Drosophila melanogaster: one gene and its partners. The protein of the gene in region 3 interacts with the protein of the main gene of each other region in a pairwise test. Each region holds a gene or a part of one and is shown on either strand. Other genes may lie near its edges.

What was found.
Region 1: the proteins of Cks85A (region 3) and RPA2 interact in a two-hybrid assay, tested with the Drosophila melanogaster proteins (one large-scale study listed by BioGRID).
Region 2: the proteins of Cks85A (region 3) and PHDP interact in a two-hybrid assay, tested with the Drosophila melanogaster proteins (one large-scale study listed by BioGRID).

What each region holds. Positions count from the first base shown.
Region 1 is NT_033779.5:20,921,653-20,932,594, forward strand, and holds RPA2 (replication protein A2), read right to left. Parts: upstream 4,496-10,942; 5' UTR 4,395-4,495; coding exon 4,382-4,394; intron 4,324-4,381; coding exon 4,262-4,323; intron 4,199-4,261; coding exon 3,612-4,198; intron 3,523-3,611; coding exon 3,444-3,522; 3' UTR 3,323-3,443; downstream 1-3,322. Other genes in the region: Mtp (microsomal triacylglycerol transfer protein), read right to left, coding at 1-419, 1,034-1,100; Nthl1 (Nth-like DNA glycosylase 1), read right to left, coding at 4,796-5,212, 5,269-5,439, 5,505-5,972, 6,037-6,147; CG9270 (uncharacterized protein), read right to left, coding at 7,932-7,961, 8,016-8,432, 8,491-9,700, 9,756-10,942.
Region 2 is NT_033778.4:23,878,197-23,889,195, forward strand, and holds PHDP (putative homeodomain protein), read right to left. Parts: upstream 6,245-10,999; 5' UTR 6,117-6,244; coding exon 5,840-6,116; intron 5,745-5,839; coding exon 5,551-5,744; intron 5,283-5,550; coding exon 5,091-5,282; 3' UTR 4,940-5,090; downstream 1-4,939. Other genes in the region: TM4SF (transmembrane 4 superfamily), read left to right, coding at 697-762, 1,428-1,616, 1,679-1,864, 1,958-2,158, 2,235-2,453; CG4882 (uncharacterized protein), read right to left, coding at 2,714-3,391, 3,525-3,864, 3,919-4,121; CG5597 (uncharacterized protein), read left to right, coding at 8,882-8,930, 9,678-9,868, 9,929-10,206, 10,285-10,549; DCP1 (decapping protein 1), read right to left, coding at 10,878-10,999.
Region 3 is NT_033777.3:8,713,419-8,724,417, forward strand, and holds Cks85A (Cyclin-dependent kinase subunit 85A), read right to left. Parts: upstream 5,039-10,999; 5' UTR 4,919-5,038; exon of another isoform or gene 4,625-4,918; coding exon of another isoform or gene 4,431-4,624; intron 3,924-4,430; coding exon of another isoform or gene 3,707-3,923; exon of another isoform or gene 3,478-3,706; intron 3,151-3,477; exon of another isoform or gene 2,825-3,150; intron 2,462-2,824; exon of another isoform or gene 2,398-2,461; 5' UTR 2,380-2,397; coding exon 2,321-2,379; intron 2,251-2,320; coding exon 2,019-2,250; 3' UTR 1,782-2,018; downstream 1-1,781. Other genes in the region: CG8112 (uncharacterized protein), read left to right, coding at 1-352, 728-1,758; TMEM216 (transmembrane protein 216), read left to right, coding at 3,707-3,923, 4,431-4,624; CG11760 (uncharacterized protein), read left to right, coding at 5,915-6,170, 6,386-6,579; CG8136 (uncharacterized protein), read left to right, coding at 8,122-8,143, 8,205-9,508; nom (numerous disordered muscles), read left to right, coding at 9,824-9,943, 10,015-10,532, 10,716-10,964.

The DNA of each region.
Region 1 (10,942 bases), on a different chromosome or scaffold from region 3:
ATTATAGGACACACGACACAGGCCAGAAACATCCAGTTCCTCCTCCTGGGAAGCATCCAATCTGAGCTGCAGCAGGGAAGCAATTCCGCGCTCCAAGTTCAACAGGGATTGATCTTTGGATGTATGGGCGATGACCTTGTCAGGCTGTCCCCTAACCAGACTAATATAAAAAGGTCTATCGGGTATCCGGGTAATTGAGCGGGCTTTTCCAGAGGCGTCGACCTTGCTTCCGCTGATAAAAACCTCCAGTAACTGGTCCTCATCTCCACTCCAAACTGAGTTGATCTTGAGATCTGTCTCAAATGTATAGCTCGTCTCCGCGGAGCTTGAATCTCGTCCCAGTTCCTGGAGTATCACTTGATTCTGTAGCTTGAAAATTTGCTGACTGTTCGGAGCTATTAGGGCCGTTTTTCCATCCTCTACAGAAATGTGGCCGAAAAGAAATAGTAGAACACGTCATTAGTCAAACGAATTGTTATAACTTTCACCCAGAAGCAGCGCTACATGCTGATATGTATTTTCGTCGTTTACTAAGCCTGGGTCGAGGTTATCAACAAGTGGCCCTGCACAGTGGGCAGCGATAAGGCAAATAGTGGAAGCAACGTGTACGAGGGAGTGATAATCTGAAGGAGGGATGGGGTGATAGATAGCAAAGGTCGATGTGGATGTGTTTAAATCCGGGGATCTTTGGGAACAAATATGATGATGTTTATCTATGTTTCGGTTTTTAACAATTCAGGGTCGGGTAACTGCACGTTTTTGTCTAACTTTACAGAAACAAAACGAAACACCTGTGCAGGTCACATTTCCTTGACCTTCAATACTGTTACTTGCCCCACTGTAAAAACAGCTGCTTCAATTGGAAAGTGTGTCAGATAAAAGTTCTCTTTCGGCCTTTTGTTTGTGTGCGTAGGCGGAGGTGTGGCACTGTCAATGTTGTTGTTTATCGCCAAACGCTACCTACCACAAAGAGTTCATTCAACTTGATCAAAACCCATTTACCCAACTAATCGCAAATATTGGCATTACTTACCCAAAAGTCCCAAAAAGAGGGCCAGCAGTAGCAGGGTTCGCAGGCACTTCTTATTTTTGTTCTCCATTTTCCCAAGGTCTTTGTTCGATTCTGTACTTATATTAAACTGAGCAGAGGTAAATTAAACTTAATTCATTGATAATACCGAGCCGAGCCGGCAGGCGACGGAATTAAAAGCGGAATGAAAACAGAACGGAGCTGAGGAGCGAGATTCTGACTTGTGGTGACTTTAAGCAGCTGAGAGTCGCTGAGCTGGGCTGTGGTGAGATTGAACAGCTGGCGAGCAAGAGGGCGCCACTGTTACGGAGAGTGCCAGAATGTATGTAAATTATTCGAGCTTCTACAAACTTTTTTATTTTATTTAAATGAGTATACATGTTATTATAACCTCCAAAAATATTCATACTATATTCATGTAACAGGCACAAGGAAGCGTTTCCGCGCATATTAAGTATATACATTCTTGATCAGGATCAATAGTCGAGTCGATCTGGCCATGTCCGTCTGTCTGTCCGTCCGTTTGAACGTTGAGAAGCCAGGAACTTTAAAAGTTAAAAAGTTGAGATTAGAAACAAAGATTCTAGGGACATACAGGCAGCGCAGTTTGTTGATCCATGTCCCACGCACACTCTAACGCCCACAACGTTTCACGTTTTTGAACCGTTTTTCGGTATTTTTTCATAATGGTATTAGTCTTATAAATGTCTATCGATTTGCAAAAAACTTTTTGCCACGCCCACTCTAACGCCCTAAAGTCGCCAAACCTTGCACGTCCACACTTTAGAACAATTTTTTTTATTTATTTTATTACCCAATATCTACCGATATCCCAGAAAAATTATGAAACTTCCGCGTTTGCATTCACACTAGCTGAGTAACGGTTACCTGATAGTCGGGGAACATAGACTATAGCATTATCTCTTGTTTTTAATCTGATGTAGCTTAAGTATGACTGTAAATGTCTAAAGTAAGGCTGAGTTAATAAACGCTTAAAACAAATGTATGTATGTTCATCTTTGGATATACATATTTGCTTTTGGGGAACAACTACGGATATGGTTATCTTTCCACGGGGTTCTATTTTTTATATTTTTAACTAAGGATTGGCGACTGGACCGTTGTTCAATCACTATAGCACTGAAAAAGTTGGCAGCCTCAAAACTTCAAACTTTTGGCAGGTCTCCCTTTTTAAGTCACTGATATATAATTCTTTATTCAGTCTACATCAATTTCAATTGTGATTTTTCGGTAAATATTGTTACGATAAAAATGGGAACAGCAAGCGCGTTACCTTTGAAACAGCCACCTTCCCACGACCACCAGCCGCGTCTGAACGAGGTGACCCAAAAGTTTCTCGCCGATTTGGTCGAGGAGAGCCAGTGATTGTCCGCGGAGTTTCCACTTTGCGCACTGCTAATTGCCGAGGGTAAAATCAATTCGGCCCTTTACAGGGTATTTTAATGGTATTAATCCCACATTGCAGCTGTGGACCGTGTCTATGGCACTGGACGTATTCCCGGCAAGGAGTTATACGCAGACGTGTACAAGCAGAAGCCGATAAAGATTACCCAAAAGGTCTTCGTGCCCGTTAATCAGTATCCCAAGGTGGTTTTTTATACAATTAGCTATCCACTCCGACCGCAAAATGAATCCTTACACTTGCGCAGTTCAACTTCACTGGCAAGATCCTGGGGACCAAGGGGAATGCTCTCTTGCGCTATAAATTCCCACAACAAATATTAATCTTAATTTTTGATTTGCATGCCTATTATGTTTTGATTTTGATTCCTGAGCTTGTAATTTTCTATGATAAATTCAAAAACTAATGAAATAAAACGCATTGAATGAATTTTATAAATTTTTTGCAATCCGATCTAACTATGCCCGATATACAATCAAAATATGCATTACCTAATTAAACAATTAACTTACTAGCGTTAAAAGTTAGTTAGTTATATATCTAAAAAATAAATTGATAATGAAATAAAGCGGTATGAACTTATCACATCCTTTTATCAAATGAAGCAAAGTGAAACGATTCAAAAAAACTTTATAATCCATTACAATTTTATAAATGAACAAGAATATTAATTAAACATAAAATAATTAAAATATTTCAGGTTTTCTATCTTTTTTGTAAGATATTTTAAATTCCCTTAGGACTATGAATCCGAAGACTTTTCATATGATAAGCCGTAAATATACACATACACCGGCAACTTGAAGAGCAAGATTTCCTCAAATACACATTTTCAACAGTCCCAATAAAAAATATCCCAAAATCACTTTCTGATTATATAAGAAATATTTAATGTACAACTAATATATGGAAAATGTTCCCGTTTTTCAAAAACTTAATACATATATTCAATACGCATTTTTAAATTAAATAGTGGTTACACGATTTGATTTACATTGTGCAAATAAAGTGATCTGCGTCAATGCTGGAATAAATGTGTCCCTCGGAAATCATAAAGTCCAGAATGTTGCTGTAAAAATAGGAACAATAAAATGTTATAATTAATATTAATTAATAAAGAATATCAAATGATGCAATAGTTTTGGATAAACAACTTACGTCAACTCAGAGTCGCTGATGTGGGAGAATTTGGCTTTCAGTTCCTTGCGGGAGATGCCCTCCTCGGAAACATTGCTCTTGATGGCCTGGAATACGGCCTGCTGCTTGGGCTCCAGCCCACTGACAATGGCCGAGCTCTGGGAGGCGGTGAAATCAGCTATGGAGCCTGAGCCGGAAGAAGCCCCTGCACCAGCTCCAGCTCCACCCTTGCTCTGGTAGTCCTCGGCCCTGTAGCGGGCATTGAGTACTTCCAGCAGGTGGGTGCACACCTCGTTGGGATCCAAAACGGGCAGTAGCTTGAAGATCATTAGGGTTTTGGAACCGCCTTGCGACCGGGTGGTGCCGTAGACCTTCACGTAGTTGTTGACCATTACTTCGGGTGCCTTGAGAGCGTCGCCCTCCTCAAGCCAGTAGTGCGCATCGATCCTGCCGCTATGATCCTCCAGGGTGTAGGTGATCTTCGTCGAGGAAGTCTCCACGTTCCGCACTATGGCCACAACACATGCCATGGCGTACTGCATGCCGAACAACTCGATGTTTCCCTCTGGGGCGTCCACAATCTGCTTCACCACCAGGGGCACTATTCCCTAGTTGCAATCATACGGAATCATGTTAGGTTGTGCAACTTTACTGGCGTCTCACTCACTTACTTCTCCCTTTTGATTGCTGGCGGCTCCAGTTGGCGCAGTTTGTGTGGCATTGAAATCTCCAACTAAAACGAGCTTCGTTATTAGTTCCCTTAATTTCTCTGAGCTACGGGCTATACTTACATGAATCATTCATTTTCTTGGCTTTTGAGGGATTTGTAATTGAGTATTCTATATAATTTCACAAGGGCCGCTGGTAAACAATAAAACGCGCGAACGTAGAGCTGATAGTGTGGCCGTAGGTCGAACACGTAGGAATAACATCTATTTAGTATATAAGAAATACGAAATATTGTAGTGTCAATATTTCAATATTTTTCCTGAAAAACTGAATTATTGTAATAAATTGGGAATATACCTTTTTCAGTTAAAACAAAAAAAGAAAAACCACAAAATTTTTTATTTTTTACAGGACTTACAGCCCCCTTAATAATTCATTTATTTTCTTATGGGTAACACAATATTTTTCTTAGCACTAATAATTTCAGAAACACTTAGAAACCTAAAACCTTTTTCAGCGTTCGCTGAACCTCTTTCCTATCGGTCTTTCTTCCTTTTTTCTTTAGTTTCAGCATGGGCTGAAGGACAAATGTCCTTGTTCAGGCACTCCCCACAATTTGGCTTCACTGGGGTGCAAATGGTTTGTCCGAATCCCACGAACAAATGATTGACCTCTGACCAGAGGCTGAATGGCAGCCACTTCTCCAACGCCACACGGGTTTGCTCGGGCTCCTTGGTGGGCTTCGGCACCCAGCCCAGCCTGTTAGAAAGGCGGTGGACGTGGACGTCCACTCCGATTCCGGTTATCTTGTTCCAGGCCACTGCCATGCATATATGGGCCATCTTGGGGCCAACTCCTGGAAGAGCTACAAGGTCCTTGACATTATCTGGAATGTCCGAACCATACTTGTCCGTCAGTATCTCCACGGTTTGCTTGAGGTATTTAGCTTTGTTCTGGAAGAGATCGAGAGTAAGTGCGATATATTTATTTATTATTAATTCCACCAAACCTTGTAGAAGGATACGGGATGCAGTAAATTCTCGAGTTCAGTCACTGGCATTTCCTTTACTTTCAGTGGAGTTAGACCTCGGTCTTTAAGGCGATTCATGGCTTCATAAGTAGTTTGGTCTTTGGTTTGACTGGACAGCATCAATGCCACTAAGTTTTGGAAGCGCTGGGTCTGCAAGGAAGTTGTTTGCTTGTAACATATTCTTCTATGTACTTAATTCCACTTATTGGAAATACCTTCGAGTCTGCTTTTAAATCGGCGCATCGGTGGCATCCCATGGTGTCCACTGGCGCAGTTCTGGAGTTTCTCATAATGCGAATGTTTTCTAGGTGGTTAAACCACAAAGGATGTGGTGCTTGCACCTCAGAAAAAGAAGGGGAATCCTCCGGAGCTTCCTGTTTTATTTGGGGTTCCACCTCCTCTCTTATCTTATCCACTCTCACTGGGGAGTCCACAGCATCAGGGACCACCTTGCATATGACCACAGTAGCCGAACCCATTTGAACTCTGGTTACCATGCGATCATCCTTTCTAAACTTTTTGGGTGCCACTCGAGCTGGAGACAAGGGCTCCATTTTAATGTTAGTTTTCTTCACGGCTTCCCCATTTAAGAGACGCTGCTTGCGGGTTTGCACGGGGGAGAAGAACACTGAGCTACTCGATCCTGCTGCGCCAGCAGATACACCAACCAGATCCTCTATATCCTGGAAGATTTAGAAACTGCGTCTTGAGTATCAATTTCATTGTTTATCATGCATTTCCGCCTACCCTCACGTTATCCGCCCTATTTGGACGACTTTTTATTTCCGTGGGTTTTATAAGATCTCCGCGTTTTGCCAACTTGTTGGCCAACGTTAATTTCTTTACATTTTTGGCCATAGCTAATACAATTTCTGCGCTTCAGTTTCAGTTTCCATGTTTGTTTACATTTCGAACCTATCGATTTCGATGTAGGAGAAACGGCCACACTTTACAACTAAGTAGCCGGGAACATTTGAAATTTCGAAATATTCAACTCATGCAAGTTAGGATTTTAAGAACCATTTTTCGTATGCTACAGCATAATAAGTTATAAGCTATTACAATACATTTTAAGCCACAAATTTAATTTTAATGCACTTGATTTAAAAAAAAGTACAAACTTTTCGATTTCGTTATCAACAGCTCATAAAATTTAACAAAGATATTTAAAATAAATTTTATACCCGATATTCGTATACTAGATTCGTTGAAAAGTAAGTAATAAGCAGAAGGAAGCGTTTCCGACCAACTACATATATATATATTCTTGATCAGGATCAGTCGATCTAGTATGAACGTCGAGATCCCAGGAACTATAAAAGCTAGAAGGTTGAGATTAAGAACAGTGGTTCTAGAGACATAGACGTAGCGCAATTTTGTAGAACCGATTTCCAATCTAACGCCCATAAACAGCCCGAAATTGTCATGCCCAAACTTTTGAAAAATGTTTTACTATTTTTTGATTTTTATGTTAGTTTTGTAAATTTATATGCCAAAATACTTTACGCCCACAAGCCGCGTAAACCTGTCACGCCCACATTCTCAGCAACATTTAAATTTTTATTTTATTATTTTGTTTCCAATTTCTACCAATATTCCAAAAAATATTGAAATTTCTCGTTCACACTTCCAGCTGTGCGAGGGAACTCGACTATAGCATTCTCTCTTGTTTTTAATCTGATGGGTAAGTAGCTTAAGTATAGCTAAAGTAAAGCTGAGTTAATAAACGCTTAAAACAAATGTATGTTCATCTTTGGATATACATATTTGCTTTTGGGGAACAACGGATATCGTTATCTTTCCACAGGGTTCTATTTTTTTTTATATTTTTAACAAAGGATTGGCTACTGGAGCGTTGTTCAATCACTATAGCACTGAAAAAGTTGACAGCCTCAAAACTTCAAACTTTTGGCAGGTCTCCCATTTTAGTTCACTGATATATAATTCTTTATGTAGACTGACATAAATTTTAATTGTGATTTTTCGGTAAATATTGTTACGATAAAAATGGGAACAGCGAGTGCGTTATCTTCAAAACAGGATGGATCCCGAGTCGTCCATGAACATTAACGGACTCTATCTGGAGGTCCACAGGTAATGGGGATCCCTTTGCATATCGATGTTACTTGACAAGCGAGTTGAGCATGTGACATACAACGGGTTGCCATTGGGCAAAGAGTAAAAATCTATTGTTATTTTGCAGATCTGTCAACGACAAGGTGTTGGGTGGCAACAGCAATGGGTCTCTCAAGTACATCAACCCGATTAAGCAAGGTGCGCGAAATCCGCCCGAGTAAGTTACTTGTAAAGTAATGGACCTGAGACTCCCCGCGTCCTAGCAGTTCCTTGAATCCGAGCCAACATGCGTTGAGCCAACAACTAACATTTTGGTCTTTATAGACTCGACTATGTGGAGGAGGTGGCCTATGTCATCCTCCGTCTATTACATAAGGTAGTTTTATGGGATGCACCTTGGGATTTATTTCGGGGAACTCGACTATAGCATTCTCTCTTGTTTGTATACCACAATACTGTAATAACAACATTGTAATCAAAAAATTGTATTTCTCATTAATCGCAATCGGCTTTTAAGAAACAAAAAAAATGGAAAATGGAATATATTTGAATTATATACGCTCTAATCATTGAGATAGCAGTCTTCTTTCGTGGGCCTGCAAAGAAAGCATTACCAACAAAACAAAATTAATAAATATTCATCTACTGACCTCAAGTGCCAGCTTCAGAAGGTGCTCGAAACTCGACCGACCCGTCTGGAGCACCATCCCGTAAAAGACTTTGCTCCACGATTGGGTCAGTAGTTCGAATGGTGATCCGAACTCCACTAGAGTACCAGCGTCCAGAACCATGACCCTGTCCGAATCGATGATCGTGTTCAACCTGTGAGCTATGGTCAGAACTGTGCAATCTCTGAACTTCCTGCGAATGGTGGATTGTATGAGGGCGTCTGTTTGGGGATCTACATTTGCGGTAGCCTCGTCCATCACAAGGATGCGGTTCTCGCGGAGAATCGCCCTGGCCAAGCAGACCAACTGCCTCTGACCTACACTGTAGTTGGATCCGCCCTCGGCAACCACACTTTCCAGGCCATTCGGCAGCTCGGATACCTCATCTTTGAGGTGCACCTGGCGAGGGAAAATGGTTTAATTATAGTTATGATTGTCAGGTTTGGTAATTACTCACCTCTTCTAAGGCCTCCCACAATTTTTCATCAGCATACTGTTCAAAGGGATCCAAATTGCAGCGCAGGGTGCCGGAAAATAGCACAGGTTCCTGGGGAATTATAGAGATCTTGCTGCGCAGATCATGAAGCCCAATTCCAAGAATATCGGTGTTGTCTATCACCAAGGATCCTTCGTTGTAGGACAGCCTAAAGAGGGCATTTATAAGGGAGGACTTTCCGGCACCAGTTCTGCCCACGATGCCAATCTTTTCGCGTGGCATGATAATGAAATTCAGTGACTTGAGGACTCTATCTGCCTTGGGATCGGGGTTGTACCTTAGACTTAGTTGTTCCGCACTGATCAGACCCTCTTGTGGCCAATTCATCGGTGGTTTCTTGTCGTCTGGGGACTCGAATTCTCCCTCTGCTTCCAGGTGCCTATATTCTAGCACTCTTTCCACAGAAGTCATGGAGTTCTCCAGCTCAGCGGATTGCCTCATTCCCCACTGAACAGTCCCCGTCATGGACATAGCCTGGGTAATAACTAAACCGATTTGACCAGGATTATCCACGGGGGGGTTAAAATAGCTCATTAGGGTTACCGATATGACGTAGGCCACGCAAAACAGATCCAGATAGTAACCAAAGGCTCGATTTGTGGACAGGAATGTATAGTAGCCGGAACTGTGGATATCCTGGTAGTTATCGTATTCCTTGGTGAGTAAGTCCTGAGCTTCCATAGCTCTGATGGTGGATAGGCCATTTAAAGTGGCACTAAAATGGGAATACATAGGGGATCTGGCTATGGCTTCCAATCTTTTCAAGTCCCTCGAAGTGCTCAAGTAGAATGTGCGAAGAAAATGAAAAGCCAAGAACATCGTGATGGTATTTATCAAATACCACGGATTTGTGATGCACAGAACTCCTATAATTCCACTGATTGTAAGAAATATCTGTATGCAATCGAGCATCACTGCGGGCAGGATTTCATCCACTTGCCCCAAGTCCATGGCAAATCGATTGAGGATTCTGCCCGATGGATTCGCATGGAAGAAGTACAGAGCGGTGCGGGAGACTCCTTGGAACATGGTATTGTGTAACTGGGTGGACGAGTGCATCGCCATGCTGAAGAAGAGCAGGGTTCGAAGCAGAGCAAAGATTACTAGGGCTGCATTGATTCCACTGAAGATGTAAATGTCCGTAGATGAAGAGGAGTCGTTGTTTTTAACCCTGTGAACGAAGATTTATTAATTGTGAACAACATAGTTCAATTAAGCATACTTACCAGTAGGAAAGGAAGTAGTCACCTCCAGAAGCCAAAATTTGAGTGCCCAGACAGAAGAAGGCAACCAGGATGACCATTAGCCATCCAGAGCCGGCGGAAAAGTATTTCCCATATATGCCCAATCCAATTTTCCCTTGGGATCGCGACTCCTGAGCAGGTTGTCTTTCATTGTCCAGTATAGACTCCGTAGAGGAATCCACCGAAGTTACACTGACTCTGCTTACACGACTACTTTGCCGGGAGTAGGTCGACTTATCATTTCTGGAATCGCCTTCTGCATTAACTTGTTCCTGATTAGAATCGCCCATTTCCTGAGCCTCCGTGGCCAAAAGTTTCCCAAAGTCCTGGCCACTTTTAAGCATTTCCTCATAGGTGCCAACAGCCGATATTTTTCCCTTGTCCATAATCACTATGAGATCGGCATGTTCCAGAAATTGCAGTTGATGGGTCACCAGAATCACCAGCTTATCCCTGAGAAAGCCACGCATGCACTCCTCGAATAAATGGCGTCCCACATGGGTGTCCACAGCACTCAAAGGATCGTCGAGAAGGTATGTATCCGCCTGGCGATAAACAGCTCTTGCCAAACTGATCCTCGCTCTCTGACCTCCGGATAGGGAAGCTCCTCTTTCACCCACAAAAGTGCGATCGCCGTGGAGCAGTTCGAAATCTCTTTCCAAAGCACAATTTCTTATGACATTACGATATCGGTGCTTATCCATGGGTAGACCGAAAAGGATATTATCCCTAACGGAAGCATTGAATAGCCAGGGTTCCTGAGAGGCATACGAGATATCTCCCTGGACCTTTAGCTTTCCCGACTCACCAGGAAGTTCTCCTAAGATGGCTTGTATGAGGCTGGATTTCCCAGAACCAACGGGTCCAATGACAGCCACCAGTTGCGGTGGACTTAAGCTGATGTTAATGTTTTCCAAAACGGGTTCCACGTGATCATGATTCCAACGGGCTTGAAAGGATTGCAATTTCACAAGGGGCTCCCCTTCGAAAAGCTTATTTGTTTGTCCACCTTTAAGGTACAAAGCTTCAGTCTCACTTCTCATCATGAATCCTTTAATTCTGCGCAGGGTTACCATCATCTCTGCAAATTGCGACATGCCGCTCGGGAAGAATTTGCACACCGTGCGTCGCAGGATATTATAGAAAGCGGTAACTGAGAAAGCCCTCTC
Region 2 (10,999 bases), on a different chromosome or scaffold from region 3:
ATATTAATTATAACATTCTATTTGATATATTTTTAAAAATAATTAAAAGTTCACTTTATCAATTAAGCACCCCATACGATATAAATCAGTCATTGAAGCTTACCAAGCATACGTACGTACAGAGATAATTTGCGAAATACCCGAACTTAGCAGCAAATGGAGCACTGTTTAAACTCCGCTTTCGTAAAGTAACGGCTTTTGGCGCCCGAGTGGCGCTGTCATCGGAATCGCGATTCGCAAGCGAGGCGACGGTTATAGATAATATTCGCACTGCTGGTCGCTGAAGTATAACAAAACAAGGAGCCAACTGGTCAGACCGTCGAATGCGTATTTTCGACTGCGGACGATTTCGAGTCGCTCGGAGTTAACGTTAACTGTTATTTTTAGTTAAAAATTGCATCCGATCAGTCGGGAACGCGAGTTGAGGCCCGCGACTATGTGGTGTTTAAAGACAGGCATCCGCAAGATAGGAATCTGAATCGGAATCTATATCTGAAACTGAATCCGGAGATTCGGCCCAAGAACTCCAGCTCCAGATCGAAAGTCCACACACACGCACACCAGCACCAATACCCATACCATACCCATACCCACGGCGACATATGCACACAATCGCAGTCGGATTCGGTTTATTAACGGTAGTTCAGTGATTGCGGGAAAGGGACAGCGAGCGAGCAGCGAGGATAACGGGAAAGGATGGCATTGCCGAAGAAAATTAAATGTTTTAAGTATTTGGTTTACAGTTATGTGGTGCTCCTAGCGGTAAGTTGCATTGCTGTGCGCCCAAACGGGGCCACAACTACATGCTTGTCAAATTACATAAGCCTACATTGTACTCACACTCGAATGTATTGTATGTATGTACGTATTTATGTATGTTGATTGTTTGTGGGTCGCGAAGATTTCCAGATTTTCATATTTGCATATTTCAAAAGACATCAATGAAAGAGACACCCAAATACACCCTTTTGTCTCGACAAACGGAGTTAATTAGTTTCTGAAAGTAAGTCAATTCTACCCATGTAGATAACACTATTGATACACACCCGCCAGTGCATTTCTACATCAGTAACATACATCGTACACAAATCATACATCGCTGGCAGGATAATGCCTTGCGTTCGTTCTGGTCCCGACTTGCGGCGACCTTGAGCTACTTAAAGCTGCGCTAAGTACATAGGCACAAGTATACACATGCGTGCACATGGGGCTCCTTGGCATGTGACGTCAAAAGGGAGTAGGCCCCATTGCCACAGTATCCATGGTGTATACTACGTGGTGCAGGGCGCATCCCGAATACACACGGTGCAGCTGAGGCCGCGTCCAAGGACACCCAGAGTGCGGGGCCTTGAGATGAAAATCAGCAGGCAGTGATAAGAGCAGCGCCCGTAATCCTCATCCGTATCCTTATCTCTACTCCCTTGCAGCTGACTGGAGCTGCGCAGATCTTCCTGGGCACATCCCTGCTCTGGGGTCACTCGGTCTACTATGGAATTGTGCAGAACAAGCTGTGGGCTCCGGCCGCGATCCTGCTTTGCCTGGGACCCGTCACCTTCATCCTCTGCTGGATGGGCTGCCAGGCCACCAATCAACGCAAGCGATGCCTGCTGGGAATGGTAATGGTCATGTTAGGCCTACTTCAGTTCCATCGTAACCCGTATCCTTTGGATTCACGCAGTTTGCCGCCCTTTTGGTTGCCTGCATCTGTGTTCAGTTCATCATCTGCGGCTGGTCGCTGGCCATGAGGGAGAACCTGCCCACTTCCGTGGAGATCTTCATCGACGACTCCTTTGTCGAGTTCTTAGACAAGTTTTCGCGCACCAAGGTGGATAACCTACATCTGTGGAATAGGATGCAGTCGCAGGTGAGCCAAGAGCGGGCTATGTAAATCTAGTGGTTTTGGGGTATCCTAACGTAGAGATGGCGTTCCAATTCATCCCCGTTCCCTACCCATTAGTTGCAATGCTGCGGCGTCGACGGACCTCTCGATTACCGCCGACTTTCGCTGCCCTGGTCCTGCTGCTCGCGCCCGGAGCACGCCTACGAGTCAGCATGTGATACCCACTACAAGCGCGGATGCCTGGCCGTCGTATCGGAGCAGATCAGGAACCGCCTGCTGATCACCGCCTTCGGAGCTGCCATCATAGCCATATTCCAGGTGAGTCCCCCCCAATGGATTCTCTCTCAACTCTCAGTTAGTTGACCAATAATAAATTGAAAACCAATTCGCACAGAGCCTGGGAATCTTCTGTGCTGTCCACCTGACCATTCTGTTCGGCAAGAACGACAACACCCATCCCATGAACATGAACCGGAAAAAGAAGCAGCAGCAGTTCTTGCCCCTGACCATACAGGACAAGAGGCACGACATGCCCTCGCCCATCAATCTATCCCCTTCAGCACCCGGGCAGCGGGTTTTAAAAACTGCTCTGCCCTCGGCCATGCACAAATGACAGACGATTAGCTTTTAAGGATGCAAAAATTTATGGAAACTCCAAAGAAAAAGTATAAAAAAAATGTTGTAAACTGAGATGGAATGAATATAACTGTGACCCTCAATGTTACGTTATGGTAATTTTAAACAATTTAACGTTCGAGAAAAGAAACAACATTTGAATTTGGATTAACTCTCCAGTAGTTTAATTAAAGCTTAAAAACAATTGGATCTAACTTGTTTGTGGCCAGGAGTTGTCGTGGGTCCACGGGTTGTCCACTAGCCGTTGTGCGTGATAGTCGGCGGCACATAGAAGGTGTCTGCTGCCTTGGGCTTCTTCTTTTTGCCGAACCAGCGCTTGGGATAGTAGACCTTCTTCTTGTAGATCTGGATGTCGATGTCGTCCCGGTTCTCGAAGAACCACAGGTTCTGCCGCTTCGCCTCCAGTTCGCTGAGGGTCTTCTGGATGGTGGCCTTACGCTCCTCCACGCTCTGCGAATCCAGTTGTCGCTGCACCGCTGCCTCAAACTTCTTGGCCCACTCCTGATACGACTCGCCGTAGTCGGCCAGCAGTTTGGGCTCAAACTTCTGCACATTGGCTTTGACGCTGTTCTCCAGTAGCGATTGAATGGCATTCGATTTGCTACTCTTCTCAACGGCTTCCTGCAGGGACTTCAGCAGCTCTTCGGATCCCTCCAGCTTGAGGCTTTCAACTATGCTCTGTGCGGCTAAAAGAGTCTCCTTGTGCAGGGCAGCTGAGTTCGAGGCCAGAAAGCTGGAGGCCTCGGGCACTTGTCCGGTTAGGACATAGCCAAGTAGGGCAACGTTCTGCTTCAGCTCTTTCAAGGACCCTTCGCCGGAGCCCAATCGAACCATGGCGCGACCCAGTTTCTTCTCTTCGGTATTTTCGCTGGCGTCGTCGGGGTAATTGCGAATGAACTTCACGCGAACTTTTTCCTAGCAAATTCAGGTATGATTAGTAAACTTGGTAAAATGCCAAAATGAACAAAATCTTAAATAGCTATTTATGAGTGAATAAAGTTTCCAGCCGCTTAGCTGATAATTCAGCCACTATCGAAAATCATCTTACCACTTCAACATTTTTGGCAGGAGGTTGAACTTGAGAGGACTCGAAGGGCTTGAACTCCTTGGCGAAGGACCAGAAGGACTGTAGGGCCAGGGACTCCAGCAACTCGTTGTTGCATAAGTTTCTGTCCACGAGAATAGTGGCCAGCTGGGCAGATTCCACCGCGTGGCCATTGTGCAGCAGGAAGTCCAACAGGAAGCAGCCAGAGAACTGGTCCACAAAGAGCCCGTACTGGATGGGATTACGGAGCACCGATATCGTCTCCTGCGGATTGGTGGAGTCCAGCAATTGCTTGACCAAGACACTGGGAATCAGCGGCACCAAACTGGCCTCCTTCTGTTTCCTGCAAGAGTTATCTTATGAGTAGGGACACTACTTCCAATATGGCCGCACCCACCTGAGCTTGAGCAGCCGGTCCACCAGGTCCATGGGACGGTTATCCGGATTGACGAACACATCCAAATCCACACTCGTTACGGCATGACTGCTGCCTGCGGCGAATTTAGCCGGTCCCTCGTGCGCCACCTTGTTGAATTCCGCCGAGAAGTAGGACACCAGTCTCCTGGGTGGCAGTGCGCAGGAAATCCTCGATCGCAGCATTGTCAATTGTCTTTTTTAATTCATAAAGTGTTATAACCAGCCGATTAACAAATAACATGCAGCTGGCCAAAAGAGCAACAAAATCCCTAGCGCGTTCGCCAGTTAATACCGCAGATAGCGGTATTTTCGTATTCGAAAGCATTGAGGGTATTTCGACTTATAATATGTTGCTTTTTCCGGGAACGATGGAATTGAAAATGTCCTTGGAATATTTGAATAAAATAATTAATTTGAATTCTTTTATTCTAAATGAAAAAACACATAAAATAATCAAATCAAATTGCAACAAAACTATTTAAAAAACGGAAGAGTACGTTTTATATATAGTTAAAAGGCTAAATGATATTTGTATATTTATGTATATATTTAATATCTGTATATACGTTTCACTAATGAAGTGTAGAAAAATGTAAAATGAACAACGATTTCACAGTTTATTAAAATCATTCGAGGGTGTTGAAAGGCGGGCACTACTTATAAATTGCAATATTAAGTTATACATCTGGGCACATATGATTTCAATAAACTGCAATTCAATCTTGATCTTGTTAATTAGATCTGAAAGGTATTCACCGCCAATCCCTGCGGTGGGCACTCCACAACAATTGCTATATTGAGCGCACCGAATCGCCACCATCAACTGATTACACGCCCTAATGCCGATCCAATCCACTTTTTCCACCCGATAATGGGATGACAATTTACCCCTGAAGGGCGTGAGGTTTGGTACTTGTAGATGGTGACCCTTCAACCCCCATTCAAGTCCTTGTTTTTCTTCCCACAGGCTTAGCCGGCTGAGCCCTCAAAAGGGTGCTAAGCCAGTTGTCCCGGATGATATGAAAACAAGCAAAGTGTTACACAGATCTTATTTATTTAACGCAATTCGCTCCAAATAGTCAGTAAAAATAATATCAAAATAACTGCATTCATCAAAATGTATACTAATATTTACATAGATATTAGTGGATTCTATATTTGATCGTATAAGCATTTCATTTGACGGCCATGGCCATTCTGGGGTCCCTTGAGAGATGGGCCCAGGTATTTCGATCCTGCTACAGGATTCTTCCGGCCATCCAATTTGCTCGACTTGTCCTTCATTATGTAAATGGCATGCCTCTCCTGCTTGCGAAACTTGGCTCTTCTGTTCTGGAACCAGACCTAAAACACACAATGGTTTTTTTTTTTTTTAATTTCGATTACTAAGTCGTTTTGTATCCTTCAACAGGATATGACTAAATTCGTTTCGATTGTAAGCTGGCTTCGAGAAACCTATAATATTTGAACCTATCAACAGCAGATCGAGTTCTTTTCAATAGTTATATTATATTATGTAAGTATTATTTGTTATATGTTAATTATTGAAATATGTGTATCCTAAACTACCCACTCACTTAACCAGCAATTCAATCTCATTAGTTTTCCTCACCTGAACTCGAGCTTCCGTCAAGTGCAGCTTGGATGCGATCTCTTCCCTGGTGTAGATATCTGGGTAGTGGGTTTCCAGGAAGATCTTCTCCAGCTCGTTCAGCTGGTTGGACGTGAAAGTGGTGCGAATGCGCCTCTGTTTTGATTTGTCGGTCAGGCTCAAGCCGTCGTCTCCATAGGACTTCAAATGGAAGTCTATGGCGAGGTGAGAGTTGGTTCAAGATTACAATCCATAATCGATCCATCCAGGTGCACTGGCTGCAGGTGGAACTGATGGCCACTGTACTTACCCGTGTTGTAGGAGCCAATGTTATGGGTGGCCGGGTAAAACTCGGAGACAGTGGTGATTTTGGAGAACAATAAGCTCGACTCCTGGTTGAGGGAACCCCGGATTGCGGACTCGTTGGCGCAGAGCTTGTAACTGGAGTCAATCATGAGGTTGTAGTGATTTATGTGATTGGCCACGGAGAGTCCTCCTCCATTGGCGCCGCTGTTGTAGAACTCCGAGTTCGCGGTGTACAAACAATCCTTGTCGAAGTTCGCCTTGTTGAGCAGTGAAAATTCCATCGCATCTGCAGGTAAATTCACACACGGCACTCGATTGAAATTTTACAGCCCGCTAATGAGTCATTCGGCCATAAAACACATAGTTATAGTAGCTCCGCGGCCGCACACACTTTTAACTGCCCTTGAATAAATAAGCTTCGATTACGATTGTATCAACTACAGGACATCCACGTTGGACGAACAAGGATGCTGCACTTGTCTCGGGAGAGCGGGACGGAAAATTTCATTCGTTTCCGCGTTTGGAGGCGGTCCTAACGAGCTCCACTCGACATAGGGGTGGAAATCTGACTTTCCGGCGCGTGTCGTGCACTGCGCGAAAATTCACCGCATTTCCCCAATTGACTTGTCACAGCATGTCTAAAGAATTGGTTTTGGTTTTAATTTCATTGATTGCATCGCTGTCTGTTGGCTCTGATCTAATCTTCACTCAGAAATCTTCTTTTCAATGAATATTTCTTCAAAATCTGAATATTTTCCAAGCTCCATCTTTAAGCGAACTTTTCTTTGAGTGCACCAATTTTCACAGGCCTCAAAAAGCAACACTCAGAAGATTAAATTGGCTTATCGGGCAACCATGACGCTGGGATGTCCTGTCTGAGCGATTAAAGGAAATGCTTCTCTGGGATAATATAAAAAGTAAGAAAAATGAAAATCCTCTTTACGTTGCAATAACTCTTAAGGAACAGCCAAAGTAACATAAATTATAAAATATATTTAAACTTCATATATGAAATGGAAAGGGTATCGGACAGTCCGTCATCACGAGTACAGCACTTCGCCAACTTGATAAAACAAATGGTGTTGTACCGCACACAATGGATAAGAGACACCTTACTATCTTTTCTTGTTTATAACATTGGGCTGATTGAAACATTGTTTAAAGTCACTGGCAGGATACAACCCCTGTTTTCGGAAACAATTATTTGCTCTGCGGATTATTTCGATTAGTTAATTCCTGCTAATCAGAGTCCTGCCTAATTTTTATTTACTCTGCGCTGAAGTCCTTTTTTTTTTGGACACCCTAATGCTGGATTGCTAATAGGATAGGCTGGTTGTTCCATGTGCTGAAGCCATTTAGTTAAATTTTCAAAGAAAAACAGTTCCAAATTCAATGTATCTATCTTCGGAAACAATTTCATTGGGATCAGTTTAGTCAAACATACGAGGTAAAAGTTTAGAATGTGCCTCTTTTTCCAGTTGAAAAATGGTCTTAGTTGCCTTTGTGGATTTTACACATTTGCATGGTAGAGTGAGCCTTTTCTTTTCTTAATCAACGAATTGGAACGACTAAGTCTCTAGGAAAACAAAGCCACCTAATAGATGCACATCATGCTCAAACTAACACTCGTGCAAAAAGAAACTCTACTTTGTAGTAATCATTACTTAAATCGCAAGTCTATGTAAATCGGAGAATTGTTATGGCAATCATAATAATACAACATTACGACATTCCGAAAGTTTTGGAATAAGTTACTGTGTTACATTTTAGGTTAAAATATATCCAATATATGTGTAAAATTATAACCTTTCCAATTGTAATTGTATCAAACGCAAAGATATGAACTCATTTTACATTTAATAAATAGTATAGTAACCAGATGTTGGAGGTGATCGACCTGAACGAAACCCACCTGCATTGTTTGCTTAACCCGATCTCAAACCCACCCCGAAAATCCTGTAAAAACAGCAACATATTATTTAGTTATAGAGCATCTAAATGGGAAGCTAGTTTAAGTAGGTTTCAACCTAGTTGTGGGTGCAAATGAGCCTGGAACTACATGCATCGAACAAGTATCAGGTTCTATTGAGTCATTCTGAAAACAACTAACGTTAGTTTGGAAAACATAAAGTAAAGAAAAAGGGTTTATCATGCATAGGTGTGTGTTGCACTTACACACTAACTTGGTATAGTGAAGGCTTTTTCTTTTGCTAATCACCGAGTTGGAACGACTAACTAAGTCTTTACAAAAACTCAAGCATATGGATATACTTAAACCTATGAGTAACTGAACGGCTAATACCCTAAGATTTATTCAATTGTAAACAAATTCGAGAAATTCGACTTAAAAATGCCTTCTATCGGAATTTCAACAGAATTACAGGAATGTTAATGATCCCTATTGCCATGGAGACAGCATATTATTAACGCCAATCGTTACAACAGCCCTTAACTTCGGTCGAGAAGAAGAAAAGGTCCTTAAGGACTACGCTCGACACCCCCTGTCCTTTAACGGTCTTGCATGTTACCCTCGACTATCCCTAGTTGTAGGAGTGCGCCTCAGCTGGGCGGCCAACTGGTTTTCAAATAGTCAACGGCAGCTAGGAGCAGCGGAGAGTATCGAAGCGGAAAGGTTGTGTCCAACCCCCACACATGCAGGGCGACTTGGTTGGTGGTGGTGCCTGGCCAGCTGCGGAGCGATCTCCCCACATGTCCATGCAAAGATCGTGCTTGTGCTCCGAGAGTCGCGCACAAGTCAAGTGGCACGGGCTATGCGAGGAGGAGGAGGGTTAGGGTAGGAGGATCGTGTGCCGGAGAGGAAGTGCCGGCATTATCTCGGCTAAATTCGAATTCGTTTGGTTACGCTGCGTGGTCTTGGCCAAGAGCTCTCGTTCCTCATTTCTCGGTTTTCAGTTTTCGGTTCTCTGGCGGCCAAGAGCATTTAGTTGCCTTAGTTGTACCATGCCGAGCGGACCGCTGAGTTAGGATCGGTTGAGAAGTCTGGCATACGAGTGGAAGTGGAAGTGTAGATAGGATAGTGACCGTTATGGATACCCTGCTGATCGCCATTCTGGCCATCGGACTGCTCCACAGAGGTACAGCCAGATCCTGTGGCGATCCAGCCAGCAACCGATATGGGAAACGCGATTTTTAAATTAAGAAATGAAATCATTCGGAAGGCGCATATAAACGAATTTCGAATGCGCAAACCTTGAGAAAAATAATGACAAATCGGATATCTATAAATACGAACGTATATCCACATTCGGTTCTGAGTTAACATGTGCTAAAACGGAATATAAACAATATATAAACAATATATAAACAATATGTGCAGATTCGATTATCCTTTAATTTGTGGATTTGAACGGGCTGAAGGATTTTACGTGCAATTATTCGTGTTCGAAACTATATGTTTTTCAATGTGGAAAAAGCGCCAGTGGTTTTGAAGTCGGAGCAATAGATGCTAAGTGGAAAGCAAAAGATTCCAGCGAAAGGAACCTAATAAAATTGAACAGAGTTTTCAGAATTTTGGCACACATGATGACAAACTGCCGAATGAAAAATGTTCAATTTTCTAGCTTTTGTTTGTTATTAGTGTCTATTTTTAAAACGAAACAGGCATCCGCTCATCGCGTTTTCGCTTCTCGTAAATATACGCTTTCGCCAAATTATATAGATTTTTGTGTACAATGTGTTTTGGATTTGCCTGTGCTGCATATGTACATATATTCCAAATAATACCGCGCGTGTTCTGTAATTTCGAGACCTCGTCGTGCTAAAAGCTTTTCGTTTCGTTTCTGAATTCTGCGTTCTAATCAGTAATATTCGCTCTCCCCCAGATGCGCTATGCTATCCCACGAGGGATGAGTCCGAGGACAAGATTATAGTCCTTCAGAACGAGGAGATGGAGCCCACGATCCTGGACTGCGACTACGAGGTGGAGGAGAGCCCGAAGTTCATCACCGTCAAATGGTACAGAGACGACAAGTCCATATACCAGTGGATCTTCGGAACACCTCCATATGCCATCGTGAGTGAACCAAACGGTGTGGTGCGCTTAAGATACTAACCGCTTTCCCCTCCTTGATAGCCCGAGTTCAGGAACGAGATTGACAGCACCTATGAGAGCTCCACGGAGCCGAGCAAGCAGTACAGCTCGCTGGCTTTGATCAACCCCACGATCGCCACCACCGGCGACTACAAGTGCGTGGTGCAGACCTCGCTGAACACCTTCTCCAGCCACCAGAGGGTTCAGGTCATAGACCTGAGGAACTACACCCTGGAGCTGTCCCACAAGACGATCCACAATGAGACGCAGCTGAACTGCACCGTGACGAACGTGTATCCCAGGCCCACCATCACGATAATGTAAGGACGAGCGCCTGCCTTGTCGTAAGACAGCCTTGTAGTAAACAACGTCCCAACTCAACTCCGCTCCTATTACAGATCCAACGACATGGACGTGGTGAAGCGGGAGCCCATGGTGTACGAGAACGAGGAGGGATACTTCGATGGCAGCGCCGTGGTGGCGGCCTACGACACCGACGACGATCCCGATGCCTACCAGTGCGTGGTGTCCTTCGAGGGATACGGCAAGAACCTGACCACGGTGGCCACGTCCGCGGCGGCGGGCAGGAGCCACGTCGACTTCAGCCTGTGGCTGTTTTGTTTTCTGTACTACCTGCTCTGCAAGCTGAAGGTATTGGCCTAAATAAAAGCGTTGTTATTTATTGTTACTAAATTAATGTTTATTGAATTCTGTTTGCCATTCAACTACCTTTTCTACGCCCCTTCGGCCTAGTTAACCATTTTGTAAATAAATACGAATACTTCACAAAACCAACTACGTTAGTTAACTCTTAAGGTTGCTCTGGAAATGGATGCCGTCCTTCTCCGGCGGGGCTTCTAGATTTTAAATCTACGACTGCCCTTGTCGGCTTACAGCTATTACATTTTGTAAATTAACTCGGCTTGAACTCGAACTCCATGCGAACAAATGAAAATATGGGCTGCAATTCGGAAATGTTGAATATTTCTGTTTATTGATATGTGGAGCTGGAGTCCAGCAGTAGATTGGAACAGCCGTTCAGGTAGGCCTTGTGCAGCTTGTTGGCAAACTCCTTATCGTTCTGGATAAGGTACGTGAAGGCCTGGACGAACT
Region 3 (10,999 bases):
CATCCAAGGCCACCGATCCAAAGCGAAACATCCGCTCGTAAGCAGCGACGACAACTGCCCGAAAAAGTGTTCGTTGCCCGGGAATCGTACCTCACCGCTCTGCTGCAGGTGGAGCACATGCGCACCATCTACCACATCTTTTATATTATTCTGGTCATGTTCCTGCTGAACGTGATCTGCTACGATTACTTTGTTGATGGCCGCTTCGATCTGGGACTTGGCACCTTCCGCGGCGGACTGCGCCGCCTCCACTGGGTGATGGGCGTTTGGCTGCTGGAGCATGTCTTCGTCCTGGCGCTCTATTTCGCCTTCCGCGGATGGGCCTTGGTCAGGCACAAACTGAAACCGCACAGTAAGTGGGTTGATCCAATTATCATAAAATTATAATATTAATTTATGGTCACTATATAAAGGATTGTAATGATAATTTATGGAATCATATCTGCTTTATTAAAAATGCAGGTAGAGTTAAAAGCTCATAACATAGCCTTTTGTTGAGGCACTTGACCAGCAAATTGTGACGACATCGCCTTTAACAAAGGAAATTCACTTACCAGTTACTCATCTCGGTTGAATTGTACAACGTTTACTTGCGCGTTTGCTCTGATTGTTAAAAAAAAGCATTTCCCATAAAAGTAAAGTAACTTAAGAGAAGATAAGTGCAGGAATATAGAAATGCTATTAATAAAAGGACGTAATTTCTTTGAACTATTTTCTAATCCTGCAGGTTCTCTCCAGCGCTTTTGGTCGCACAGCTGTCTCATCCTGTACATCAGCTCCCAGCTGGTCTTCTGTTTCGTGTCGACTTCGCTGTGCCTCAAGTTCAACCTGCCCTTTGTGAGTGCGTGTATCCTGTTGCTCGAGAGCACGCGACTGCTGATGAAGATGCACGCCTTTGTGAGGTACAATGCTGAGCGCGTTCTGAATGGCAAGGCCAAGAAGGAAGATGCGGAGGAGGAGAAAGAAGGCAGTGAGCGACCCTTTGTGCCGCCGCTGAGCTGTTACACGTACTTTTTGTTTGCACCCACGCTTATCTACCGAGACAGCTACCCGCGCACCTCCCACATCCGCTGGAAGTTTGCCCTGAATCGACTGTTGGAGGTGGTGGCCATAGCCTTCCTGTACGCGTTCATCCATGAGCGGCACATCCACGAGCACTTCGGACAGTACGGACTGGAACCAATGGGACCCTCCCAGCTGATCCTCAAGCTGTTCGGCATGATGCTGCCCAGCGCGGTGATCTTTCTGTGCGGCTTCTACCTAATCCTGCACTCGTGGCTGAACTTCACGTCGGAGCTGCTACGCTTCGGTGATCGAATGTTCTACAAGGACTGGTGGACGTCGCACACTTACGATGGCTACTACAGAAACTGGAATGTCGTCGTGCACGACTGGCTGTACGAGTACGTGTACAAGGATATGTACACTCATGTGTTCCGAGGTTCCAAGGTGGCCGCCTCGCTGGCAGTGTTCATGATCTCCGCTGTGGTCCATGAGCAGGTTCTCGGCTTTGCCCTGCAAATGTTCTTCCCAGTGATGTTCTTCTTCTTTGGGGTCGTGGGTGTTGCCTTGGTATTCCTAATGCGGAGTGCTCCAAAAGTGATGGGCAACATCTTTCTGTGGTTCTCTCTGATCCTGGGAAATGCCACGCTGATCTCACTATACGCCATGGAGCATTACGCCCTAAAGAACTGCAACCTAAGCAACGAGAGTTGGACGTATCGCCTGCTGCCGGCGGTATGGCGCTGCTACAATTAGTCAATTAGTTAAACACTACTTTTAAACTGTCTGTACACAGGGCGTACGCTTCGATTTGTATTTTAGGTAAATAAACTTAATGAAATTAACAGAAACGATGTCTTCAGTTCGTTTCGTGTCTTTGAACTTCCCAGCTGAACCCTAAAGCTATGGTTTCTTATTTTACATCAGGCTGCCTGATGCTAACTTATGAAATACTACGTGAGCATTGACGAGTGCGTCCTTGGAAGAGCATTCCTCGGCGGCATGGCATCCTCCGCCTAACCGCAGAGATTCGCGATGGCCTGAGCCGCATTAGCGGCTGCCACCTGTGGAGCGTCCTCTGCCGGAATGCGTTTGCGTCGGAATAGAATCACATGCGGCTCCGGCGCGTGGACCATGTAGTGCACCCAGCCGGGGCTCTGCTGCACGCCCAGGTTGCGCCACTCCGTCTCGGTCATCAGATGAGCCTTCGGCACATGTTTGGCCAAATCCGGTGGCAAGATAACATGCCTGCAGGGAGGGAAAGTGGTTTGTGTGTAAACAAACAGTTCACGGATGCTGAAACGCAAGTTGAACGTACCTGTATTCAAAGTTGTCGTCGAAGTACTTCTCTGAGTATTGAATTTGATCGGCCGGCATTGCGAAAAGCCAGAAAACCTGAGGTAAATTAAGCAATTTTACCAAAATAGGTCAATAAATTCAGATAGATATGCCACAACTGATTCGATTCTAAATACTATTGTTATCGCTGCACGTATCGAACATAAAGTTATCGATTTGGTTATCAGCTGTCCAGTTAACAGCACCTTTGGCGGTAAACTCAAATGTACTGTTTTTAATGGCACGATCTTAGCGGGCTTTAATATATTGAACATAAACTTTTTTCTGTATAACAATATTTTTGCAATGTTTAAAGCCATTTTAAAGCCATTTTGTTAAAAAAACGAGTACTTTGTAAAAAGATGCTGTTAGAAAATGTTAACATATTTAGCGAATGAAAAACTCAATTGGATAATATGTGATTTCCAGTGTGACCGGAACTCGCAGGCTCGCACATTTTCCAAATGCAATCGGCAATTTCTCCGTTACTCGCCCATGGCCACATTTGTGCATGTGCGTTTGAGGTTCCTTTCCTTTTTATATAAGCCCCTCGTCTCTTGCCAACAAACCAACAACAACAACAACCAGCCAGGCCAGCGGGCAACAACAACGCACAACAACGCGTATAAATAAACGTGAACGCATGTACTTAATATTAGCATAGAGTTGTCGCCTGCGTGCATTTCATATACATAACATAACATCCACTTACTCCCATGACAACGGGACTTTAGACAGTAACGGTGGAGCAGCTAGAAGAAGAGGAAAGGCGAAGTAGAACGGGAACAAGAAGAAAAAGCAGTGGAAGAGGTGAGGACGATACGTAAATACAGTCAAACTTCCATAAGTAGATACGACTTTACTACTACAATAAAAAGTGTCCTTTAGTGATGAAGAAAATGGGTTCTAAGAACCTAAAACCTTTATGTATATGTACTCCCTATTGTCGCTTAATGAATTTACCGTTACGGTATGCTAGTAAATAAATGCATACAATGTACATATGTAGATACATAGGCACAGCAAAACCACCTATAAATTCGATTGATTTTATGAAGTTCTAGTTGAGGAAGTTTGACTGTATGTATGCGCGCATTGGTAAATACGAGCAGACCGCAATTAGCAAATATTTTTCAGTCCAGCAGGTATCACTCACCACGTACCGCCCAAAGGTCCCAATGCTGGCGTAGAGAAGCCGAAACACCTGCTGCTGCCAGTGGAAAAGCGGGAGGAGCTGCTCCAAACTGCCCAGGTGACATCCAATCATTTAGAGGCGACGCACCTGCCGCCTTGAGGAACTGGTCGCCACGCAGGAGGACACGGATACGGCAACGGTTACGGACTCGTTTCCGCAGTAGCGGGCACCATGAACGCCAGCCTCATCTATGAGATACTTATGTATCTGAACTCGTTCTACTTTGGCATGTACGCCGCCTTCGAAGTGGGCGTGGGCGTTCTTAAGGCGATTAATCTAAACTACGGCGAGAACGCGTTGTCCCGGGAGGCCAGCATCCTGCTCTCACTGTGCATCATCGAGACCGTGCGCATTGTCTTCGGGCGGAAGAGCAGTCTAAGCGATCGTGGTGAGTAATCCCCATGATCCCCATGTTACTGCAAGGGTGGGAAAAGTCCACCGGCAGCGATGATGACATGGCGAAATTATTTGTTTGCCCGGTCACAATGCCCATTTCATGCCATCCCCCTACCTCCGGGGCCATAACCCATAAACGTTTGGACGGGCATACATACATATATGTATGATGTAGCCCACTCGGCGTATGCGTAATTATGGTCATCACCCCGGATGAAAACACGCGTTTTATGGTGGCAGGGGAAAGGCGCCCTTCTGGCACATTAAGCAATATGCAAAGGAAATCTATCAAAGCGAATCATCGAAATGAGTTATTGGAAAAGCAATTGGAGCTGTTAATATTAATTATCGCAATGTGTAAACATGAAATTATTAGTATAATACTTTAAAACACTGAATCACTTTCAATCGAATACACTTAATTATAAACAAGTAGACGAACTATACGATTTTCCGTGCATCTGTAGCTAACATTTTCCTTGTTTTTCTCTCTTTGCAGGCTGGCAAGCAACCGCATCCGTAATATTAACACTGCCCAGTCTTGCTATTGTTATCTACTTGTGTTGTTTTCAAACCTTTGTTCTCAAACTCGAAATTATTCTGAGTGCCTTAATGATCACCCTACAAGGTGCTGAACTAGTCTACGCCAGCATATTCATTTGTACAATGTGTCGCCCCGTCACATACACCTAGCAGTTGATAAGCCGCGTTGCCGCCGCCACGTCAACGACCAAGATCGAGATCAAGACCAAGCCAGCACTAACACTCCCACCTGGAGGAGAAGGAGTAGAAGCATCCACAGCCGAGCGACGACTACGACGAAGACGAAACACTTTCCTCTGGCAATTTCACATCAAACGATTCGCCAAGGCCTCAAAACTAAGCCACTTAAATGCACACTAAGCCACCGCACATAAAAACAAAACAAAAAATCTAGATCCTACTAGACCTCCTAGGAATCCGTGCCAAGACAACCCGATAACATACCCAATGGCTGGCAGTTGAGGAGGACTTTCAACAAGGTACGTGAACCTTTATAAACTTATATAATCCGCACAGATCATTCGCGCCCGCGGAAATCACATCGCAGCGAAACACGACGCGTCCGATTCTATCAAAAGCAAAGCTGCATTTAATTTGCATTTCTTGGTTGCATTCTTTTGCCCGGCCTTTGTGGCGTTGCCTCCCTGCTGGCGCAGTTGCTCCTCGGACCCGCTCGGTTCTGGTATTTTTATACGGCTCTGATGGTCTAAAATTATATGCGAACTGCACGGCTCGTGCAACACCGCTGCTGTCCCCTAGGTGCAATGTACACTTCTAATTTGAATGTAATATACACGGCCCACTGCGGGCAAGTTAGCCTGACTGTAATGGCCAAGATGAGAGGGCTCTCCGTTTGGTCTTTGGTCTAGTGAACATGCCCTGTACGATTCACAGGAGAGAGATTCACGGGACTTTAGCGAGGCATAACGCTTTGAGTTTTTAAAAATAATTAAAATTCCAACAATGGTTTTCATATATTCACCCTAAACCTATCCTGAATTTCAAGGTAACCATTTAATGGCCCTGGGCCCTGTAGAGCATAACGCCCAGGGAGTTTTTAGTAGTTTTTTCCCCCCAACTAGCCGCCAGTGAAATCATTCTCCCCCACATTTCTAGGCAGGCGATCTGCCGGCCAATGCTGACCCAAACAGCGAGCAGAGAAAACAAATAAAAGGCGACAACGACCAGCAGCACATTATTCAAATAAACAGCACATTTCGCAGCGACAAACCGTGAGACCGCCGATGTCGATGCCGCTGCCGCTGCATTGGCCAAGCACGGCAGGTTCGCGTTATTATTATGGTCAGTCTATAAATACAGTGCCCAACGTGAGCAACGCCGCCGTGTGAGCGATCCGGGAGATCAAATCGGTCCAATTTGCCGTAGACATCGAGGGGTAACAGGAGAAGCAGCAGAAGGAGGTGCTAAGCCGGCAGAAAGATGCCGCCCAAGCGTCCGCCACCGCTCGTGCCGAAGAAGCCAAATCCCAGCATGAACTACGAGGTGTTGATCTACCTCAACTCGTTCTACTTTGGCATGTTCGCCTGTTGCGAGATGGCCATGGGCCTCCTGAAGGCCATCAATCTCAGCTACACGGGACATACTCTAGCCCTGGACACGGGGGTGATGATTAGCTTCATTGTCTTTGAGACGATCCGATTGATAATGGGGCGCATGAGTTCGCTGGCCGATCGAGGTAGAAGCTCCCGCCTGCTGGCTGGTCTAATTATAGGATATTCTAAAACAATAGAATCATCCTCAATGGCGTTATCAATCGTTTAATCAAACCAAACCATTAGACTTAAGAAATACTAATTAACTCATTATCATCCTTATTTATAATTGTAATAGAATAGTATCTATGGCTTTTACAATCAGATTCTAATGAACTCTTCTGCTTTTCTATCACAGGCTGGTCGGCCATACTGTCGGTCTTCATGACCGCCCCCTGCTTTGTGGGCGTCTCCTATCTACTGCTGCTCCAGACCTACCGACTGCGCCTGGAGTACTGCCTGTGCACGCTGCAGATCGCCCTTTACCTGACCGAGGTGTGGTATGCCATCGTCTTCGTTTTCTCGCTGTGTCGTCCAGTAACTTATGATTAGCCATATAGACAGAAACATCCAACAGCCAACTAGCAGCAAATATACATGCGAAAGTTTAGCAATCTATAAGATCGAAAAAGGATAATATGCGGTGTAAGGAAATTTAATGAATTTGAAAAGCAGTAGGCAGCTGAATTGCTCATGGCCGTGGAGAAGAGAAACCAAACAGAAAGAAAAAAAAAACAAAACAAAACACATATGTAGCATATTAATAATTATGTATAGTAAGGTTTATGATAACATACACACACTCTTATATACATATATTTAACGGTTTTATATACAAAAATTGTTAACATTTAAGCATCAATTGGAACCAATATAAGACAACAAGCAAAACCTAAAACTTGAATAATTTTCACAATTTTAAGATGAAAATTTTTTTGTAAAAAGAAAAATATCGAAAAACAGCCGAAAAACAAATTTGATGTGTGGAAATAATAATTTATAATAGTTCACAGATAGCTCGAATCTTAAAAAGAATTGTAAAAAAATCAGTGGAATGTCTCACAAAATCTAGTCAGCATCAAAATCATGAAAAACAAATGGCCGAAAGGCCATTAAAAAAATTCATTACCACTAAGAGTCAGCGTTTAGTAGTTCATACCAATATTCAAAAGGCGGAGAACAACATAATTAAGCCCAGTTAAAAGTCTAGACCATGTGTGTACTTTAATGAAACTACTTTATATAAACCTAGCAAATAGCGTAAATAACATTTTCAAGACGTCACTAAAAACAATGCAAACCCGAGCGGGCAACCGTTTACTAGAAAGCGAACAACAAATTAGCTAAATCATATAAAACATTTATAGAGTGTTAAAAACTAGGCGAAAACCCTCCATTACACTTCTCCCCAATTCAGCCTATTGGCAACTCGAAACGCCCTTTAAATCACGCTCAATTATCCCCGCCTGATAGGATCCGAGGATTGCAGCTCCTCCAATGCTAGTCACTAATGTTCACAAACATTTTCTAAGCTAGACCGAAGATTGTGTAATAATTTGATAAGACCTTTGTGTGGTTTCATAGCAAAATAACGCACAAATCGATAACAAAAACTCTCAACAGTCCACAAATCTCATGCTTTTAAAACAAAAGAAATAATTTTACTGAAACCAAACAGCTGGAAGCTAGAAGCTGAAAGAAAACCAAAGCCACATCCTACGTTGAATAATTTACCTGTATAATATTTATGTCATTTCGTTAAACGCAAAATGTTAACATACTTTTAAAGCGCGTGTAAAACGGATAGTTAATAAAATAACGACAACAATATTTAAAAGAACATATACACTCGATGAAAATGAATATTAAAGATCGAAAAAAAGAAAAAGGAATCTGTTATTAGTAGGCCGTGGGTTCAATAAGATCTTTTCGAGTATGATAGGTGTATTTCGTTTTGTGCCTCCAAAATTTCAGATATTATTCAGCTACACACAGACAGGCCTCCCAAATTTGTAAGCTCTGTAAATTCAAAACCAGAACTGCTGCAGGCCAGTGGCGAAGTTAATTTGTCAGAGGAAAACTCAAGCCATCTCCATGGATAAAAACCACAAGTCGGGTGAGTCAAGCCGAGTGTGGCATCCTTAAGTTGTTAAAACTATGTGTGTTCTTTGCTCCAGAAGAGGGGTTTGGACGTTCAATGTCTAGTAGCAGTCGCCGCGTCATGTGGAAGCTCAACGAGGAGGAGGAGACATTCGACTCCTTGGTCAATTATCGGCGGCTTCCTTCGCGCAGCCTAAACCGAAGTCAGGTGACCGATGTGCCCACCAAGGGACACACTACCTCCGAAAATTGCCAGCTGCCAGCGCAAGAGTTGGAAACAAAGAGCGCCACCAACGAACAAGGTGCATTGGGCATAATGTCGGTTAGCCTACCGCAAACAACCAGGAATTCCCATCAATCGTCGGCCACGTCACTGCCGGAGGCCAAGGGATGCACTGCCACCGAAAACTGCCAGTTGCTAGCGCAAGAGGCGGAAACAAAGAACGCCAGCAACGAACAAGGTGGATTGGGCAAAATGTCGGTTAGCCTGCCGCAACAAAACTGGAACGCCAATCAATCGTCGGCCACGTCACTGCCGGAGGCCAAGGAGATCAGCTCCAAAGAGCAGGCGATCATCTACTGGCGGCGTCTTTTCGATGGTATCCACAAGCGCCAGCGTGGCGAAAGAAAAGTTGCAGCAATGCAGCCCGAAAATACCACAGATGTCGTGCTGACGTCCAAGCCAAACCTGGCATTGCGCTACAAGCCCTCCCATGAGTCGCTTAAAAACAAGCGGATCAAGGACCTGGCTCCTGAACGATGCCCGAGCACGTCCCGGGGATCAACGTCCTGCAAACTGGTATCGGACCTCAAGATGGAGACGTTCAGCCTGCCGCCGCAGCAGACGTGTGTGGTGCGCGAGGTGGAGCCTCGGTTTGGCCAGCGCCGACGCATGTTGTTGGCCAACGACACGGATTCGTGCTACTCCGGCGAGCTGGAGGTCCCCAAAAACAGTCCCGTCCAGGAGCCAGGACCCTATCCGCGCAGCGAACTGATCAGTGTCCATGTCTCGGCGCCCACCAGCTCCTCTTTTACGGGAGCAACACGGCGGAGTCTGTCTCCAACTAGGCAGCGCACTGCGACGAGCAAGGTGGCCGCCGGGACGAAGGGCGGACCATCACCAGCAGTTGGGGGCAACAAGTGCTCGAGCGTCAGCAGCGGGAGTGCAGGTACCAGCCAGCTGCCTAATTTCCGCCAGCGGCAGCAAGAGCTCCATCGCTATCGCGTTATGATCGAGCAACGGCGCCTCGATCTACTCGAGCTCAAGATAGCCCGCGAACGCGAGGAGGCGCTGCACAGCGAGGTTCTGTTTCACAAGGAACTGCAGATCAAGGAGAACATGATCAAGGTGTACGAGGACAACGACTGCTCCAACGCCTAGGACTTCCTTTATTCCTAACTCTTTCGACCCCAAATTCAGAAAGGTATTTTACACTTGGCAATGGCCCTGGCCTCAGTAGTTCAAAACACTCAGTCAAATAAAACCGAAATTCATTTAGACATCCCAATCTAGGTTTTTTATTAACTACCTGAGAAATAAGTATCAAAACTGCAATATATGAAATTCAACTTAGCGGGTAATTTCAAATCTAATGTGCCCGTTCGTTTACAGCACTGGCAGTGTGTGCGCATCGCTGTGAATGGACATTAGCCCCAAACAACTTTTTATTTCATTTGTTTAAACCGAAAACGTGAAATGTTAATAAATGTGTGCCGAGTTTGCGGCAGGAGCAGGCTGTGCCCCAAAGCCGTGGAGCTCTTCAAACCTGGCAGACAGGATATTCTTCGCCGCATCCAACTAATAACCGGAATTCTCGTGAGTTAAGGAATCAAAATGGATCGCGCAATTTACATATGTGCGAGCGCTTCCTTTTTTGTATTCTGCAGCTTCAGCAGATTCCCAATGCTCCGGATATGGTGTGCTTTTGCTGCCAGACAGATCTGCAATCGGCCATGATTTTCCGGAGGCAGTGCATCCTGCAGCAGAAGAAATGGGTGCCATTGCTACAAAGTGATAAAGTGGGAGCCAGCGAGGAAAAGAAGGTGGAACCCAATGATCCCTCAACCAAGAAGAAAACGACCAAGCGGCGAAGGGGGCGACCCAGGATGCCACTGGAAATTGTAGATATAGTCGTAACGAACGAGAGTAAGGCTTCAGCAGGTGAATCAGTTGGTGGTGATGAATTTGATCAGCCGGTGGAGATCTCCAATGAACCGGATGCCACCGATAGCGATGTTAATCTGGAGGAAATAGATCTTCCGGATGAGGATGGCTTGGAGTCGGATCACGATTTACCCAATGTTCAAATCCACAAGTGCGATACTTGTGGAATTATCAAAAATAATAAATCATCTCTGGTCAGGCATCAGTTTGAACATAATGGAATAAGACCATATCCCTGCAAGTAAGTAAGAATCGCGACGAAAATATACATTTACTGATACTTAAATAGGTCCGTCGTCTTTATCTTTATCTCTTCGTATCTGGTCCATTATCACGATTTGATTAGCATACATTGTGCCTACATACATACATATGTATGTAAATTCTTTTTCTTTGTACAGTATCTGCAATATGTATTTTTCAGGGAGTGCCCAAAGACCTTTCTGGTAGCGAGTGAGCTGAAGGCACACAATCTCACCCATCACACCTTGGAGCCCCCGTTCGCCTGTCGCTACTGCGATCGTCGCTACTTCTCCGTGGTGGGCAGGAAGAAGCACGAGCGGGTCCACACCAACGAGCGACCATTTGTGTGCGATCAGTGCGGCAAGGCCTTCACCAGGACCTGCATTCTGAAGGCCCACATGGCGGTCCACCAAGTTGTAAGGAAGTATAGGTACTTGATGAAATTAAAAAAAAACATGTCGAGAT